Mytilus edulis: one gene and its partner. The protein of the gene in region 2 purifies or fractionates together with the protein of the main gene of each other region. This does not show direct contact. Links are inferred from orthologs where the notes say so. Each region holds a gene or a part of one and is shown on either strand. Other genes may lie near its edges.

What was found.
Region 1: the proteins of kinesin heavy chain-like (region 2) and fasciculation and elongation protein zeta-2-like purify together in Drosophila melanogaster (affinity purification with western blotting; 3 studies listed by BioGRID). This does not show direct contact. The link is inferred for Mytilus edulis from reciprocal best matches to the Drosophila melanogaster genes Khc and Unc-76.

What each region holds. Positions count from the first base shown.
Region 1 is NC_092346.1:56,389,187-56,397,707, reverse strand, and holds the start of fasciculation and elongation protein zeta-2-like, read right to left. Parts: upstream 3,388-8,521; 5' UTR 3,165-3,387; coding exon 2,851-3,164; intron 1-2,850.
Region 2 is NC_092345.1:94,134,654-94,143,781, forward strand, and holds the start of kinesin heavy chain-like, read right to left. Parts: upstream 3,702-9,128; 5' UTR 3,340-3,701; coding exon 3,175-3,339; intron 1,174-3,174; coding exon 1,086-1,173; intron 1-1,085. Other genes in the region: beta-galactosidase-like, read left to right, coding at 7,464-7,532. UniProt on the Drosophila melanogaster protein: Kinesin is a microtubule-associated force-producing protein that may play a role in organelle transport. Milt and Miro form an essential protein complex that links Khc to mitochondria for light chain-independent, anterograde transport of mitochondria.

The sequences.
Region 1 (8,521 bases), on a different chromosome or scaffold from region 2:
TTGTCAAAGGGTCAAAGTAAATATTTTGTCAAGATTTTAAGAAAATTAAACGAGCCAAATTAATTTTAGTTTAGGTGTTTGGTACCACCTTAAATCAAAATGTCAACCAATAATAGGATATAACTATCCAAACACTTTTCAATGGTGTTACCTAACATGCAAAACACAATAATTCAGAATATGCTTGACCATTGGACAATTTGAAAAATTATGAAGTAGGTGATTCTGATACAGATATTAGCTATTCACTTGTACCAATGTCTGATCCGATATATTTCAGTACCAAAATAACCATTAATTTTAAGACTATTTTTGTTTTGATTATTTGATAGTTATCAAAAGTACCAGGATTATAATTTTATACGCCAGACGCGCGTTTTGTCTACATAAGACTCATCAGTGACGCTCAGATCAAAATAGTTCAAAAAGCCAAATAAATACAAAGTTGAAGAGCATTGAGGACCCAAAATTCCAAAAAGTTGTGCCAAATACGGCTAAGTTAATCTACTCCTGGGGTAAGAAAATCCTTAGTTTTTCAAAAAATTCAAAGTTTTGTAAACAGAAAATTTATAAAAATGACTGTAGTTTTAATAAAAACATCATATTGCATCTGCTTGACTTATATATTGTTTTTAAGTAATGATTTTTACACAATAGTTTAAAACTGCAAAATTATGAAATTATCATGTTTACCTGTACATACTATAACCATGTTTGTGCTGAAATACTAAAACCCACATTTTTGCCCCAAGCTCTCAAGTCAGGAACTTCTAGCCTCTGTTAGTCTTGTGCTTTTTTTTAATTTTGGTTCATTTGTATGTTTTGAACTTCAGTATTGGGTCCATTTCACTGAAACAGTTTATATGTACATTATTGTTTAGTGACTAGCTGAAGCCAATTGAAGACACATTGGTCCCTATTATTTGCTTTCTAGTCTGACAGGTTGATGTCTCTTTGATATACTCCCATTCTAGCATATAACGAGTGTCAATCATAACAAATTTCCAAGATAACACCTGATTATAGAGTTACAAATACATGTAACTGACATGTGAATTTTTTTTCTGGAACTCTGTAAATTCTGTCTTAGAGAGTAATTTTATATGAATACCTTTGCATAAAACCAGGCAAACAAAACTGAAGGTAGACAGTATGTCTTTTACTTTGGATAGCCATGTTTGCATACACCATAAAAAATATGGGAAACTTCAAAATGTATACTAAATACTGACTTGTATATAAACACAATTTACATGTACAGTTAAGAACATTTTAACAAAAAGATACAAACTAAAAAAAAAAATTCACCCTGATTCTTATTTTGTTTTGTTATAGTAGTAAAATATATCATTTAATAGAGCATTTTATATAATAGCCAATGAGACAAGTAGATCCACCAGCTGATTTAAAATGTGATACTGATAGTAGCCAACACAAAATGAATAGTCCACTGTATTGCCTTCAACATTACACAATGAAGTAGTTTACTTTTAAAAATTGTTATTTTATTTATAAAACCACTACAATGTAAAGACAATTGATAATGCAAAAAGTGAGATCAAATGCATCTATTTATAATCATCATTCCAGTTTTCTTATTCTAAATTACAATCAACTGTAACTTAAACAAATTCTAAATTTAAAAAATGTAACAATGAAGCCAATAAAACAAGCAATTAAACTTAATCTATTTCCATGTTGTTGTTTTTTTGTATTTTTTTTAGCAAATTCTAATATTTATACATGTATATTTAATTTCTTATATATTTATCAAATAAATAAAATTAAGTATGGATCTATGGAATATGTCAAAGAGACAACATCCCAACAAAATAGCAGATAACAGAGGAAGGTCACAGATGGATCGTCAACACCATGAGAAAATCCCGCACCCAGAGGAGGCCTTCAACTGGCCCCTGAATAAAAATGTGAACCAGTTCAATGAAAATTAAATACCTGATAAATACAGGCACCATAAGGAATAAAAACCTAAATACCAGAAATGTCAGTATATGTATCTAAAATAAAATAAGATTGCCCATCTACCTAAATCATATTGACAAACAAACCAAATAACATTTTAGAGGGGGTAATCTAGTGTGGGTTTGTGGTCCTTGGGACCCAGACTGGTGTTTAAACTAAAATGGGTACTCTGGGGGCCACTGTTGGTCAAAGCTGCCCTTAACTTTGACCTGAAGATCAATCGACTGATATCTCTTCAGTTCGTCTGTTCCTGCAGTCACTTTGTTCAAGTACTTTGGCCTCCGCCAATAAAAGACTTTCCGATGTCCCATCACTACCTGTGAGTAGGCATTGGGCCAGGATAATTTGTCCTTGTAAATATCGTTGAAAATATGTAAGTGACACATGTATCTCCTCTACACAAATTCCACTGTACCCTTGAGGGTTGCTCAGAATAATGAAGGAATCTATTAGTACATACATAATCTAGTATCATATTCATGATCTGTTTTGACTTTTAAAATTCATAAATCATTATTTTTAGCAGGTTGAAAATGAACAGGTTGCGAACGAACCCTTTACATTTGTATATGGTGATTAGTCTTGTATAGAGGAATAATCCTTCTATAGATGGATAACCATGTAGAGGATTTGTTCCCAACCTCATGAACATCTCATATAAATATTCTAAAATGTCCTATGCATTATTTGGGCTGTTCAGGGCTATTGTCCAACCTGAAGCTGTGTAATCATAACTATTATAGTCCCTATTATATTTTATGACAATGTCAATGTTCCACAGCACCCAAACTGTTGTCTGATGAGGTTGTCTTTTTTTGTTTTGATCATGACACATAAACTCTTGATCTGTTAGTAGCAAATACTTACTGGCAATCTTTAACTACCTCCTCTTGTGTTCTAACTTGAACTGGAGCTATATGATCTACTTTGTCCTCGAAATTGCAGAAACATTTTGTGATTTTTTCATCAAATGTATTCACCAAATCTTCCAATGATTCAGACACCGTTTCCGCGAAGTTTTCAGAATGTTCACTTTCTTCATGAGCAGTTGACATGTCCGTGTTTAAAAGGCTACTTGTTTCACTTACACCTTGAAAATCACTATACTCTGCAAGTTCCTCATTCTCAAATTTTGCAAGTGGAGCCTCGAAATGTAGCTCCGCCATTTTCATTCCCCGCATCCTGACATCTCTGACCTTCACCTTTTAGATAATTTTTTTATTTAGACTGAAGTGTTCATTTCATTAGAAGAAAGACAACTCAACACAGGCACTTGTCTGAAAAAATCATGTGCACGGTACTATTTGGATCTCTTAAGCTATAAAGGAAAATTATTTTCGAGAGAAAGGTGCCTGTGCTGAAGCTGAAATGTAAAATAAATTTTCACAATTTATTAATAGACACGGCCATAGAAAGACAAAACAAGTGGCTCCTTTCACAAATATTTTATCTTGATTTTGTCTACAATATAAACAGAGACATAAAGGTCTCTGATATAATGTAATACAAATATTTCCTCAGTAATCATAAGATGTGCAAAGAATGTTTTGACGTTTATATTTTGCCAACATCACTTGGTCAATCGACACAAAAAGGGGTCTCGTCAAATAAAAATCATATGTTTCAAAACATTGACTGGCTTATCTAATTTTCAGATTCTCGAATTCCAATTATAATAATGTGGGAGGGATTGTTTATTTTATCACCAATTCATTCACTATTAACCATGCAGACTATATCTTGACGACCAGTTTTCGTGGCAGACCATCTTAGCAGTTGGGGTCATATTGTTAAACCCTCGTGTCATATTATGCAATGAACAGACTAGTTTCCTAAACTCCTTCTCATATTGAGCTGATATATAGTTTGAGAGTCTACGGTGAGTGCCAAATATTTTTTGTAGATTATTGGAGAGTCGTTTTATCGGCTATCAAACCACATCTTATTTTAATTGTATACAAACATTATAAATTAATTACTATCCAAACTTATCTGTGTCCACACTATATTGAGAAAAAAAAACTTTAACCCAAAATGTTAAACAAAAGTTAACTGCTAAAAGATTTGATCTATTTTTCAGAAAATAGAAGAGAAAAAATTCATTCAAATTTTAGGCTGGACATGATACAATATCTTTTGACAACGAAAGTCTTTCAAGACAGTCCAATTTTCTTTCCATAAAGGCTTGAAAAAAAGAAGTGTCTTGAAAAAAATTAACCATTTCATGCAACTTACTGTTATTAAACTGTGAAAAAGCTGAGTCAATTTAACAGTAAAATAGGGAAAAAATTAACAACCAAGTGCTCCGCAGGGCGCAGCTTTATACGACCGCAGAGGTCGAACCCTGAACAGTTGGGGCAAGTATGGACAAAACATTCAAGCGTGATACAGCTCTGAATTTGGATTGTGATCAAATTTTTGACATAACATGGTTTTTTTTTTACACAAAACAAATGTCAAGATTTTACAAATCAATTAAAGATTTCTTCTTCAAACTTTTTAAATCTAAAATTAAATAGTTGACACAGCATAGGTTTCTGACACAGAATGAATGTGGTCTAATGAACTAACTAATTTTTTTTGCCTATGAGCAATTCACTATGCTGTTGAATATTAATCCTCTCAAAAAATGTTTGAAGAAATTTTCTTTTTATTTATGAAATCTGAAATGAGAAAAATTTAACCCCCCCCCCCCTTTTTTTCACATCACCGTTTTCCTTTTTCCAAAACTGATATCAATTCAAATTTCTAATGGAGTTTGCAACAATAACTACTCTTTTAAATACATCATAAAATATTAAAATGTAAAATAAAGTGCTTGTTATCACTGAATGGTAAAGATTGGTTGGTAGTAAAAGTGAATATACATTGTTTATTGTATAAAACAATAAAAAAAACTTCATCAGCAACATTTTATATTGGCAAATTTCCAATGAAGTTATTTACATAAAGTTATTGGCAAATAAAAATAGAAAATGACATCATAGTCATGTCTGGCAAATGTCCAACATACATTATCTAAAAACATTTTAGATAAGATAAGGAAAAAAAGCTTCATCAGCAACATTTTATATTGGCAAATTTCCAATGAAGTTATTTACATAAAGTTATTGGCAAATAAAAATAGAAAATGACATCATAGTCATGTCTGGCAAATTTCCAACATATATTATCAACTACTATTCTATACAAAGAAAGATAACTCCAATTGAAAATTAATTGCTATTGCACAATATTGTGCAATTAAATTTCTTGCTATTGTGCAATACTGTGCAATTGAAAATTTCTTGCTATTGCACAATACTTGATATGGAATCCTGATTTGGACCAACTTGAAAATTGGGCCCATAATCAAAAATCAAAGTACATATTTAGATAAAGCATATCAAATAAGCCCAAGAATTTAATTTTTGTTAAAATCAAACTTAGTTTAATTTTGGACCCTTTGGACCTTAATGTAGACAAATTTGAACACTGGACCAAAATTAAGAATCTACATACAGTTAGATTTGGCATATCAAAGAACCCATTTATTCAATTTTTGATGAAATCAAACAAAGTTTAATTTTGGACCCCCATTTGGACCAACTTGAAAACTAGGCCAATATTAAATTAAAAATCTAAGTACATTTTTAAATTCAGCATATCAAAGAACCCCAAGGATTCAATTTTTGTTAAAATCAAACTAAGTTTAATTTTGGACCCTTTGGACCTTAATGTAGACCAATTAGAAAACTGGACCAAAAATTAAGAATCTACATACATAGTTAGATTCGGCATATCAAAGAACCCCAATTATTCAATTTTTGATGAAATCACACAAAGTTCAATTTTGGACCCTTTGGGCTCCTTATTCCTAACCTGTTAGGACCAAAACTCCAAAAATCATACCCAACCTTCCTTTTATGGTCATAAACCTTGTGTTTAAATTTCATTGATTTCTATTTACTAATACTAAAGTTATTGTGCGAAAACCAAGAATAATGCTTATTTGGGCCCTTTTTTGGCCCTTTTAAATTCCTAAACTGTTGGAACCAAAACTCCCAAAATCAATCCTAACCTTCCTTTTGTGGTCATAAACCTTGTGTCAAAATTTCATAGATTTCTATTCACTTAAACTAAAGTTATAGTGTGAAAACCAAGAAAATGCTTATTTGGGCCCTTTTTGGCCCCTAATTCCTAAAATGTTGGGACCAAAACTCCCAAAATCAATCCCAACCTTCCTTTTGTGGTCATAAACCTTGTGTTAAAATTTCATTGATTTCTATTCACTTTTACTAAAGTTAGAGTGCGAAAACTAAAAGTATTCGGACGACAACGCAGACGCCAACGTGATAGCAATATACGACCAAAAAATTAAAATTTTTGCGGTCGTATAAAAATGATTTTCAAAATTTACCCCGGACAGTGTCTTTTGAGCATTCAAAAAGTCTTATGATCAAGGTTTGACAGAGATATTGATGTCATTTATAAAGTTTTACTTGGACACATACAAAGACAGACTGTAGGAAGTCCTATGTCTGCCAAGTCTTGTCTCTGAAAAATAGTGACCATGTTGCTTTAACATGATATAGTTTGAGCCATTTAATCTTAATTGGAGTGTTGACTTGCAAATGATAAGACAAGTGCATACCAAATATTAACATTAACTTGGTTAATATTCATATCATAAACTTTGCAACATTCTGTCAATACCATAATAGACAGGTGGAGCAACATAAACTCAATGGAAATGAGATGTGACAATGCCAATTCATCTGCATAACAAGAGTATAATTGAGTGGTTCTCTTTAAACTGACCTAATCATTAACTAATTTTGTTTCATCGACAATGGAAATAGCATGTCTTAAGTTTTGCTTTTTTGAGTTTGAGACTGCTTATAAATGATAACGCTTTGATATTTGATAACCATAGAATTGTTGTTTCAATAAAATAATGAAAATTCTACACCCATGCTAAATATTTGTTCAAATTATATCAGTATAAAGCAATCTGGCACTCTCATGAGAAGAAACATGTAATGTACTGTGTGCGATTGCACCCAGAATGTTGTTTTCAATGTAATTAACGGTTCAAACCAATGTAACATGATTAATTTATGTTTTAACTGGTTTTTAACTAGCTCACTATTTAACAAATTTTGTCATTATTAAGATCATTCAAGTTGTGCCTTTACACACCACTGTCCCATGTGAGTGAACAATAGAGATTTGCAAATATGGAATTTGCTTATTGTTGAAGGGTTTTCAGTGACCTATAGCAGTTAATTTCTGTGTCATTTGGTCTCTTGTGTCGAGTTGTCTTATTGGCAATATCATATATTTATATATTAATCTAGTTGCATTTTGAATGCATCTGTCCCTAGTCAGGAGCATGTAATTAAGTTGTGGTCCTTGGTCGTTTATTTTGTTGAAACTTTTTTTTTAGTTTGAAAAGTTTAACATTTTGTCATGTGAGTTTTTCAATTATATTGTATGAGTATTATTCATTTTTGAATGCCATACAGTGACATTTTAATGCTATGTCTATATGTTTTATTCTCTGGTGGTTGACTCGTTGGTTATCATTCTTATTTTATATAAACTTTGACTTGTCTCAGCAACCACAGAGTAACAGGATCCACAGGTCGGGTAAAATTCAGTATTCTTTGATTTTATCAGTTTGAATGGGTTTCCCTTTTTTTAAAATAGCCTTGGAATTTGTTTTTTTCAATACTTTTTTTTCTGTCAATATATCAGAAATTAAGCCTTGGAATTTGTTTTTTTCAATACTTTTTTTTCTGTCAAAATATCAGAAATTATCTCATAAGTGACAAATAATATGTTATTTGAAATAATATAAATGCCACTTGAGATTTTTTTGGTAAATAAATAAAACGAGCTTTAAATGCCTTAATCTGAAACTTATATTGACTGGCTTATTGATAAAACATGTCAAGGTATAAAATATTTATTAACATATATAATCTATCAATTTGTTTGCAAAAATATTTCTCTATAATACAGTAATGACATGAATGTGGTATGAAATGTAAAGAGACATGATCGACTTACTTACAAAACAAGCCATCATAATTCAGTTATTATCATCTGTATATACCCCATGAAATTTATTTTCCCAATAATTTTTTTTTAAAAAGTTGATCCTTTCTCAGTAAAATTCAATACAAAAACAATTTACAACCAATTAAAATTTACTTATAACTTGCAGTTAAAATGTAATTATTAGTAGTACATATACATGTTTTATGTAATTCTAAGATTGAAATCAAATTCAGTATCATACATATATGAATTTTAAAACCAAGCTTATGAATCAGAAAGAAGAGCTATTGAATAAAATAATTACAATTGGTTCTATTGTATGAATGTTTGTTTAACCATAAATCAACTTAAAGAGTAGTTGAAAAATGTGTTCAACACATTGATTAAATTATATATCTAAACAGAGCAATGAGGTGGTTTAATACAACCATGCTAATGCATTAAATTAAAGCTGACTATTGTTACACAACTTGATGAATCATTTGGTACTGTG
Region 2 (9,128 bases):
ACATGATTATTAAAATGACATAAATTGCCCTAAAACTTTAATACCAAAAATCCAATGAATTACTGTTTGGATCATAATACACATTGAACAGCTTAATATCAGACATCTATAAATCAATAATGTCTGCTGCAGCAAATTTATTGATTGTCAAGTTGGTGAATGCAAATTAGTACAAAGTAAACCTTATCTGTTTAAATTAAAGTGCAACATACAGTAATTTAAACATTAGTTAATTGATTTGACTTGATTAGTGATTACATGACACTTTTCACCCAACTGACATATAAAAGTGTATTTGGTGAACTCCATTTTAAAATAATATGCAGATTCATTCTACAACTACATGCATAATATATTTCTAATTTACAAGTATTGTTTTCATAAAAGTATGTTCCTCCCTAAATTAAATCCAAATCCCTAAATAAAGGTCTCAAAGCTATATGAATCATACTAATAATATATATATATATGAAGCATCAGATGATCCATAATATTCTTCTGACATCGGACTCAGACTTCTCTTGAACTGAATTTTAATGTGTGTATTGTTATACGTTTAATTTCTACATTGGCTAGAGGTATAGGGGAGGGTTGAGATCTTATAAACATGTTTAACCCTGCCGCAATTTTGCGCCTGTCCCAAGTCAGGAGCCTCTGGCCTTTGTCTTGTATGATGTCCATTATCACTGTACTAGTATACATATTTTTTAGGGGGCCAGCTGAAGAACGGCTACGGATACGGGAGTTTCTGGCTACATTGAAGACCCATTGGTGGCCTTTGGCTGTTGTCTGCTCTATGGTCGGGTTGTTATCGCTTTGATACATTCCCTATCTCCTTTCTCAATTTTATTCTGAATATAAACTTGCTTTTTTGTATACTGTTACATGCATGTTAATGTTACTTACATTTGTTTACTCAGAAAGGCAATTCAACAGGACATTCCAAGATTCATACCATTTAATGTGTTGTATCATTTACTTATGTACAGTAAAAGATACTCTCTCAGTTCAGTTGCCTATTAAAAGTATTTGCTCCTGTATCTTTAGGGAAAAGATAAATTATATAGAACAAACACATTACTTACCAGCGACAATCGTTTTAGCAGTTGTATTATATACATCTTCCTGGGAAACATTTGGTTGCAGTATTTTGTCAAAAATAAACAATTTTCCCTAAAAAAAAAATGTTAACTTAATCAATGAACAAGTATTTCAAATAATTAAAATTATATGCAACAGATAGTACAAATCAAATTCTGGTTTATTCTGTAATATATTATGTTAAATCTAGCTTTAATACATATACATACATGTATGATACAATACAAACAAAATGAGATCAGGATCCAGTAGGAACTGACGACTCCGTGGTAAAAACAGTTTAGAAAGGAAAACAACTACCACAAATGACTACATGAAGCAGCAAGCAACCAACAACTAAGGAATTACTGTAAAGCTACATTAACTTCCTAACTGTAGCAAATTCAAACTAGACAGTATGTGTCTCTTATTTCAAGATAAACAATAATTGTTGAATTGGTATTGTTATTATGCCAGTTCTGATTTTTTATCAACAATGACAAAATTTTTAAATGTATATTTATGATTTAGGTCATGAAAACAATTGTATAGAAATGATTAGATCCAGGAAACATTGATCAATGGCCAATCACTTTTAAACAATGTCTTTCTATTTGTATCCATCTGATGAGTTGAGCCTTTTTTAACTGACTTTCAAAGTTCGTTCTAAAAATTTTCAATTGACAATATCAGATGCATCAAATCATGAAAACAGAGTTTTTTGGGTTATATCAATCAGTTTTCTGGTTAAACCTGTGCTCGGAAGTTTTCACATAATCTAAGCTATTATTCTAGGTAATGGTGGTGGTGTGGTTGCTATGAAATAATATGCAAGGAAATCTTCATACAAATCATCGATCATTTAAAAAAAAATAGTTACAAAGGCATGAAGAACAGCAACTAATGTGCTGTCCTGTTACTTTTCATAAATTATATGCTGTTCGTGTACTAATTTTGTGTAATGGATGCATGGATGGATACCTTATATATTTTTCTATTATATATTACAAATTTATAGATTTTATTAGTATTGAAACTGGAGCTACAATGTATTTCAGGCAACAACTTTTACAAGCCCATAATTTTCAGTCCCTAATCACATCTGCTGACAACACTGTACTGTTTTATAAATAACAGGGCTTTCAATAGAATTAGAAGGCTGAAACTAAAAAATAACCAACATGCTGGTGGGGACGACAAAGGCTCTAGGTTATTTTAAAAGTAAAATCCTCCCTGCATTCTAGAAGTCTCCTGGCACAAAAATACAACTTTCAGATTGCCATGTTTTTGAATGAAGTTTTTATTTTTCATAAATTTTGTTTAAATTACATTATTAAAATTTTGAAGTATACCATATTAAATTACCAAGCTAGCAATGGGTAATGTCGCTATGTAAATGTTTAACCATCACACATGATGTGCAATTGTACACCAATTAAAAAGGACTTGTTGATTGCCCAATCAGGTTTTGTCTTACAAACAATTCTCGGAATGACAACAACTGGTAACTACTATTGTTGCACAACTCTTACGGAGAGACTGACACACATAAACAATAACACAACAATAATTTAAGGTTTAAAATAGAACTACGGTCAACATATCGATCTCATTTTTGTGTAATTTAAATAAAATACTTTAGGACAAAGAAGACTGCCAAATAGACAACTTTCGAGTTCTATGCATTTCTGTCAAAAAGTTTGGTTTAAGTGAACATCATTCGTGCGTATAGGGGAGTCTTCACTTCTGTTCAAATGTTGAGCAAGTGATTGGAAAACTATAAAGCTATATTACACAAACTATTCAGCAAATTGAATTCTCATAATAAGACTAAGACGCTTGATGAACGTTTATAGTGAAGGGATACAGGTGATCCCCTCTATCTGGTAAAAGACATCATAAAGGTGCGCATAATTGATGGACACCCTCGAAAGTGGTCTATTCCATGATCTTTCATGCTACATGTATAGACAAAATAGACGAAGGAAATCACAATACTGGCTTCTATTTAAAGCCCTAGTTTAAAGTTGAAGCTGTAGCATTTTCAAAAGAAAAAAAATTAAATATTCATTTTTGCATGTATAAATCACTTACATTTATATTTATAGAGTCATCTGTTGGAAACTTCAAGATAAACTTGCTGCCAACTTTTTCTTCAGAGGAATTTAATGGTCGGACCCTGCTAATAACTCTGATGCTGCATTCATCAGGAGTAGGCCCTGGTGGCCCTGGTGGAGCAGGTGACTGCTGTGTCGCCATTGTTTACGATACAAATTTAATTTGTAAACATCAATTTATAATGTAATGTATGTGAATCACACCATCATGAATATATCATGAGCTGAATAAACAGAAAATTAGCCAGTGAAAATGCAGTTGGAAAGAGTTACAAGAAAGATATCTTAAGCGAATTGGATATATCAATGAACTACTAAGCAGAAAATAGAGCAAAATGTATTAGGATGACACGGCGATCGCCTTGAACACACTATTTTTATAACGTCCGAACAAAATCTCCTCCTTCTTCCATCATTGCTGTTGAATGATGGGAAATGACGTTTGCGAGAAATCGAACTTCTCTAGACGTTTCTTTAATTCCATATAAAAGCTCGAAATTACCCGAATAAGATATTTCCCGCGGAATCTCTAATTTTAGCTTTGCAATGTTTGCGGACTAGATAAGATTAGATAGGAAAATTTATTTTAAATCGGGTTACACGAAATACTACAAACATAAGCTCTATAGAGCTTTTTCGTAGAGACAGCTTTATTGCATAAGTATAAGCAAAGTTCATATATATAAAAGCAAGCACGAATTAAACTAGATTATAAGCGTGACATGCAAAGAAGACAAATACATAAGCTTAACTAGTTCTAAAAGTAGAATGAACTTGAAACATAAAAAAAAATCAAATTGTCTATGTTTGTATATCTTGCCGACTCTAAATAAAGCTTATTCATTATTATTATTATGGTTCAGATTCGACTGCGCACATATCGCGTCAGGCAGCTCATTCCAGAGTGTACCGTACTTCCAACTTCCGAAGCAAGGTTGTCGGCTCGTTCTTGTATTTTTTTCAATATATTTTTTAGTGTTACCCTCCCCACAAAAATGCCAAACAACGGGACAATAGTTGAAATTTGACATAATATATGAATGATGATTAGTTAACCTTCCCAATTTAGATAGATGTTTCCCAATTCTTTTTAGTACATTTAACTGCCTTGATGCTTTTTTACAAATTTCAGAAATATGTGTTTTAAACTTGAGTTGATAATCTATTGTCACTCCCAGGAGCTTTACCTCAGTGTCACATGAAATTTCATTCTCATCAAAATTGAATTTAATATCCCCACTTTTAGATTTATAGCCAATGGCAATAGCTTGAAATTTATCCGGATTAGCTTTCATTTTGTTATTAGCAAACCAATCTATTAAAACTGCACTTTCCTTTCCCAAGATTTAACTAATCCGTTTATAGCTGGTCCTGAGTGTGACAATGTATTATTATCTGCATAGTTTTACAACTCATTTTCATTTACAAAATTGAAAATGTCGTTTATAAAAATTTTGAAAAGCACAGGACCCGATATTGACCCCTGCGGTACATCTTTATAAATGTTTTTCCAGGTGCTAAAATATGCAACCACTTTAACACATTGTTTTCTGTTCGACAGATAGTTGTCGTTAAGTTTAACGTCATCATTTGACTGGCCATATGCCTTCAACTTTAATAACAGTAACGGACTCTCAAAAAGTTTTTATAAATGAATAATAGAAAATACGGAAGTCAATATTTTCTAGAATAAGATATTTCCCGCTGAATCTCCAAGTTAATAATAGTTTGTTTGTTTGTTTAGACAAACAGAAACATATGTATATTGTATAATCATGGACTATTAGGGGTCTCAAGTTGGGGGGGTTCTGATCCCGGATCCCGTTTACTGTTTTGTCAGATTTCCGTATCCCGCTTACACTAAGTATGAAAGCAATAATATCTCATTTTTCCGCTAGACATCATTTCCCGTTTTCACGGCACAATCATTTGACTTTCACGTGTCACGCTTACAAAAAATCGGCAATACCGCGTCACGCTTAGACCCCAATGAGACCCACCTTTTATACTAATTTATAAATAATGAAAATACAGGGTTTTTTGTTTTTGTTAAGAATGTTCGTTCGGATCAAATTTCAACTATTTATTGATATATTTTGTATCTCAGGCTTCCAACATTTTCAGGACAGTGGCGGTGTAGCTAGCCGGTTTACCCCCCCCCCCCAACCCCACCCCCCCCCCCCCCCAAAAAAAGAAGGCCGGACATATATTGTACAAGTTTATGGTTGCACTGATGTATTCCTGATATGTTTGTGTACAAAATGATACATATGAGGGGGTCACATATAGAAAGAAACGAAGAACTTATTGATTATTAAATTAAACTTGTTAAAACACATTTTTGAGGGTATGATAACAGTTTCAGTGTTGTCGCATTTGACTTTTGTATATATATGAAAACTTAAATAGATGGTGACAAATTATTCGCAGCTAAATCATCAGCAAACCAGGATCTACAAAAAAAGGCTATTTCAAAGAAATAACGTGTGTGATAGTAAACTTGAAATATTCAAACGTCCTGAACATACCAAACTGACATATAACATAAGTCCTTGACCGAAATCGTTAATGTACTCTCTATAAGAGTTATTGTCGTGAAATACACACCTTTACCGTTGATTTTTTTTGTGCTTTTACCTTCACTCTAGTTTGAATATAGACCTATGTTAGATGAGAACGATATATATTTGATTTTTTTAGTATGATTATCTTGATCTATAAAGTTCTGTTTATTCTTTTACAATTTGGATATTAGTAAATTCCCTTTTTTCTCCTTAAAAGATTTGATGATAAAAAATATCATATCTACATTGTTTACCCTTTTGCCCGGATAGTTTATGATGTAAATAGCAGATATTGGAATAGTTTCAACATCCCTCATTCAGATCGAAACTATAAGTCAAACTCAGTTTTAAAAAAAGTCAAGCGCAGATATAAGTAAAGTGTTTTATTTTGGAAGGGACAACTGATGCCTTGTCAATCTAATTATAATTAAGATATTGATCTCTAATTTTGTTATACTATATATGACTGATATGTAGTTTAACGAAATCAGAGATCAATATTTTAATTAGATTGGATGCTTTGTAAAACCCTTAACTCTTATTCAAGCAATATCTCAATTAGTTTCTCTAATGCAAAAAGTTCTGTTTATCCTACATGAGCACATGCAGAAGTTTGACCTGGCCTGTTTTGGCTGAGATTTGTGTTGTTCAATATTACGGTCTTTTGTATTGTGTTTCGTTTTCTGTTATTTGTCTTTTCGTCGTATTTTCAGTCTTTTAATTTTGGTCATATTGTGCATCTGGGATATAAGACATATAATATTCTGTTGTTTTTTTTTGTACAAACCTATAGGATCTGATTTACATACATATAGGCCTACTTGAAGTAAACTATTCTCTTGTACACTTGGACACATAACTTTGTTGTAAAAAAATATGCATCTGTAATCCAAAGTGTTGACATTGTAGACAAAATCCGACAAGGTTGCATGTGTCAGAACACACTTTAAAGATTGAAAAGGGAAGATATCAGGGCAATCCTCGACACGAAATAGCTTGTCATAGATGCTTAGGTCTGAGGTTGAGATGGTTTTACTTCTTCTTTTTTTACCTCAATAAATAATTAGAGAAGCAAACAATTACAAATTTGTCCCAGGAAATGATATCCAACTTTGACATTTTAACTATTAAGGATCTATGATTTTTGTTGTTGATTTTTTTCTCCCTCAGAGCATTGGGACAAGTTGTACTAGAGGCTGCATATAAATCCAAGTAATGTTTGCGCTTATTTTTTTATTTCAACAATGTTTTTTGAGAGCCTGTATTTAGGCAACAGCTGCTTATCAGGACTAGATCATAAGTTTTTGAACATAAGTTTAAAGATGTATTGTAAAGTGCTTTAAACAATATCCGGCTTCGGTTTAGTTGCTTGAGTGTCCTTTAAGCAACTACAATATTTGTGCATATACACTAGCCTTGCGGAGGACTTCGCATTGCAACAGGTTAATATCACAGTTCCAGATCACCACTGATTCATATATATTTATATGAAAATTAGGGAATATAAAAAGCTGTTTTACTTTATATATTTATATATCTATATCAAATACAGGGACGAATTGTCAATAGGGTAGAATTGTCAATGCAGTAATAGGATATCGGTACACTTATATTAAATATTGGGTACGAATTGGTAAAGGTACGAGTTAACGTGTAACCAAGTCATATGATCTAATCACATGACTTCAACAAAACATTGAAAATGGCGACTTACATGTTTCGTCCAACTTTCACTTTCGTCTTTTTATTTATGATCATACATGCACTAAAGGTATTTGTTACACAAGTTAACTTATATTTTGGTTCAAAACATTTAAAATTTTAGATTAGTGTTCTCAAACATCTTTCAGAGGAGTGAAAACAAATTTTAATCAAATCAAATCAATACTCAATCTAACAAAATTCATGATCATTCATATATCAAATCAAATCAAATTTTTGGACCAAAGAGCCAGTGTGAGCTAATATGAGGCAGGCACTACCTGTAAATGGGGACGAAGTCTGTATGAATTATTTTTTTGTAACTTAAATATTTTGTTTAAAAAAAAAGAAACGGAAATACCGTAATGTTTCCGATTTTGGTTCTGTTGTAAGGGATTTAGTTGTGACGTCATTTAAATTATGACGTCATATGCAATGTAAACAAAGAAACGCTATCATCAGGTAACGTTTTTTCATATCAAGGAATTATTAAAAATGAAATTGGTATTGCACGTTCCTTCCTATTTTATACTAGACTGATAAATATATATTTTACTCAAAGTTTCATACAAACGAGACCGGAAAAAGGAAGTACATTGTACATTTCTGCGCAGGTCCAGGATTTCAAAACACGACAAAAAAAATTTGAACGATTTTGAGTTCATTAGTACAATGAAAAATTCGGGAAATTTTCCCGTATTTTTTTTTTATTGAATTTTCTACTGTTATTGGGGACTCCGTCCCCATATTAATTCAATAATTGTCATCAATTGTCATTGTCCTTGTCTGACAACAATTACAAATATCTTGCAAATAATTGATAGTTTTTATACAACTGCAAATTTTTTTGTGATCATATATTGGTATCACGTACATGACGTAGTCGTCCTCGTCCTCGTCGTCTGAAGACATTTGGTTTCCGGACAATAACTTTAGTATAAGTAAATAGAAATCTCTGAAATTTAAACACAAGGTTAATTATATCCACAAAAAGAAAGTTTGGATTGATTTTTGGGGTTATGCCTTATTGTCCCAACAATTTAGGAATTAAGAGGCCCAAATATGCTTTTTTCTAGTTCCAGACAATAAATTGTGTTGAAGTGTATGGATCTCTCTGAAATAATACCTCAAGTTTCCAGACTACAAACGGATGGTTAAGATTGGGTTTGGGGGGTTATGGTTCAAACTGTATATGAATTAGGGGCAAAAAAGGGGGAAAACAAGGGTTTCCTGGTTAATTGAGAATTAAGACAATTTTTGGATTACCTCCCTAACACTGCATTTAAATTATGTACAAAGAAATGTATTGTTTTGAGGTGATTAGCTGTCAATTTACTTTAAGAATTATGCTGATTAAGGAATATTAATATCAATGTTAATACTTTTATGATGTATTTAATGGGTAATTATGGTTGCAAACTCAAATGGAAATTTGAATTGAGATTATAACATTACTCGAGGGAAAGGAAAAGGGTGGGGGAGGTGAAAAAAATTGGGGGGGGGGGGGGGGGGGGGGAGAGAAGTTGTAGGGGCAATTTTTTTCAATTCAGATTTCAGAAATTTAAATGAAAATTTCTTCATATTTTTTTTTGTGCAAATATGCAACATCATAGTGTATTGCATAAAATTAAAAAAAAAAGTTTTTTTTAATTTTTATTTGAGAGGG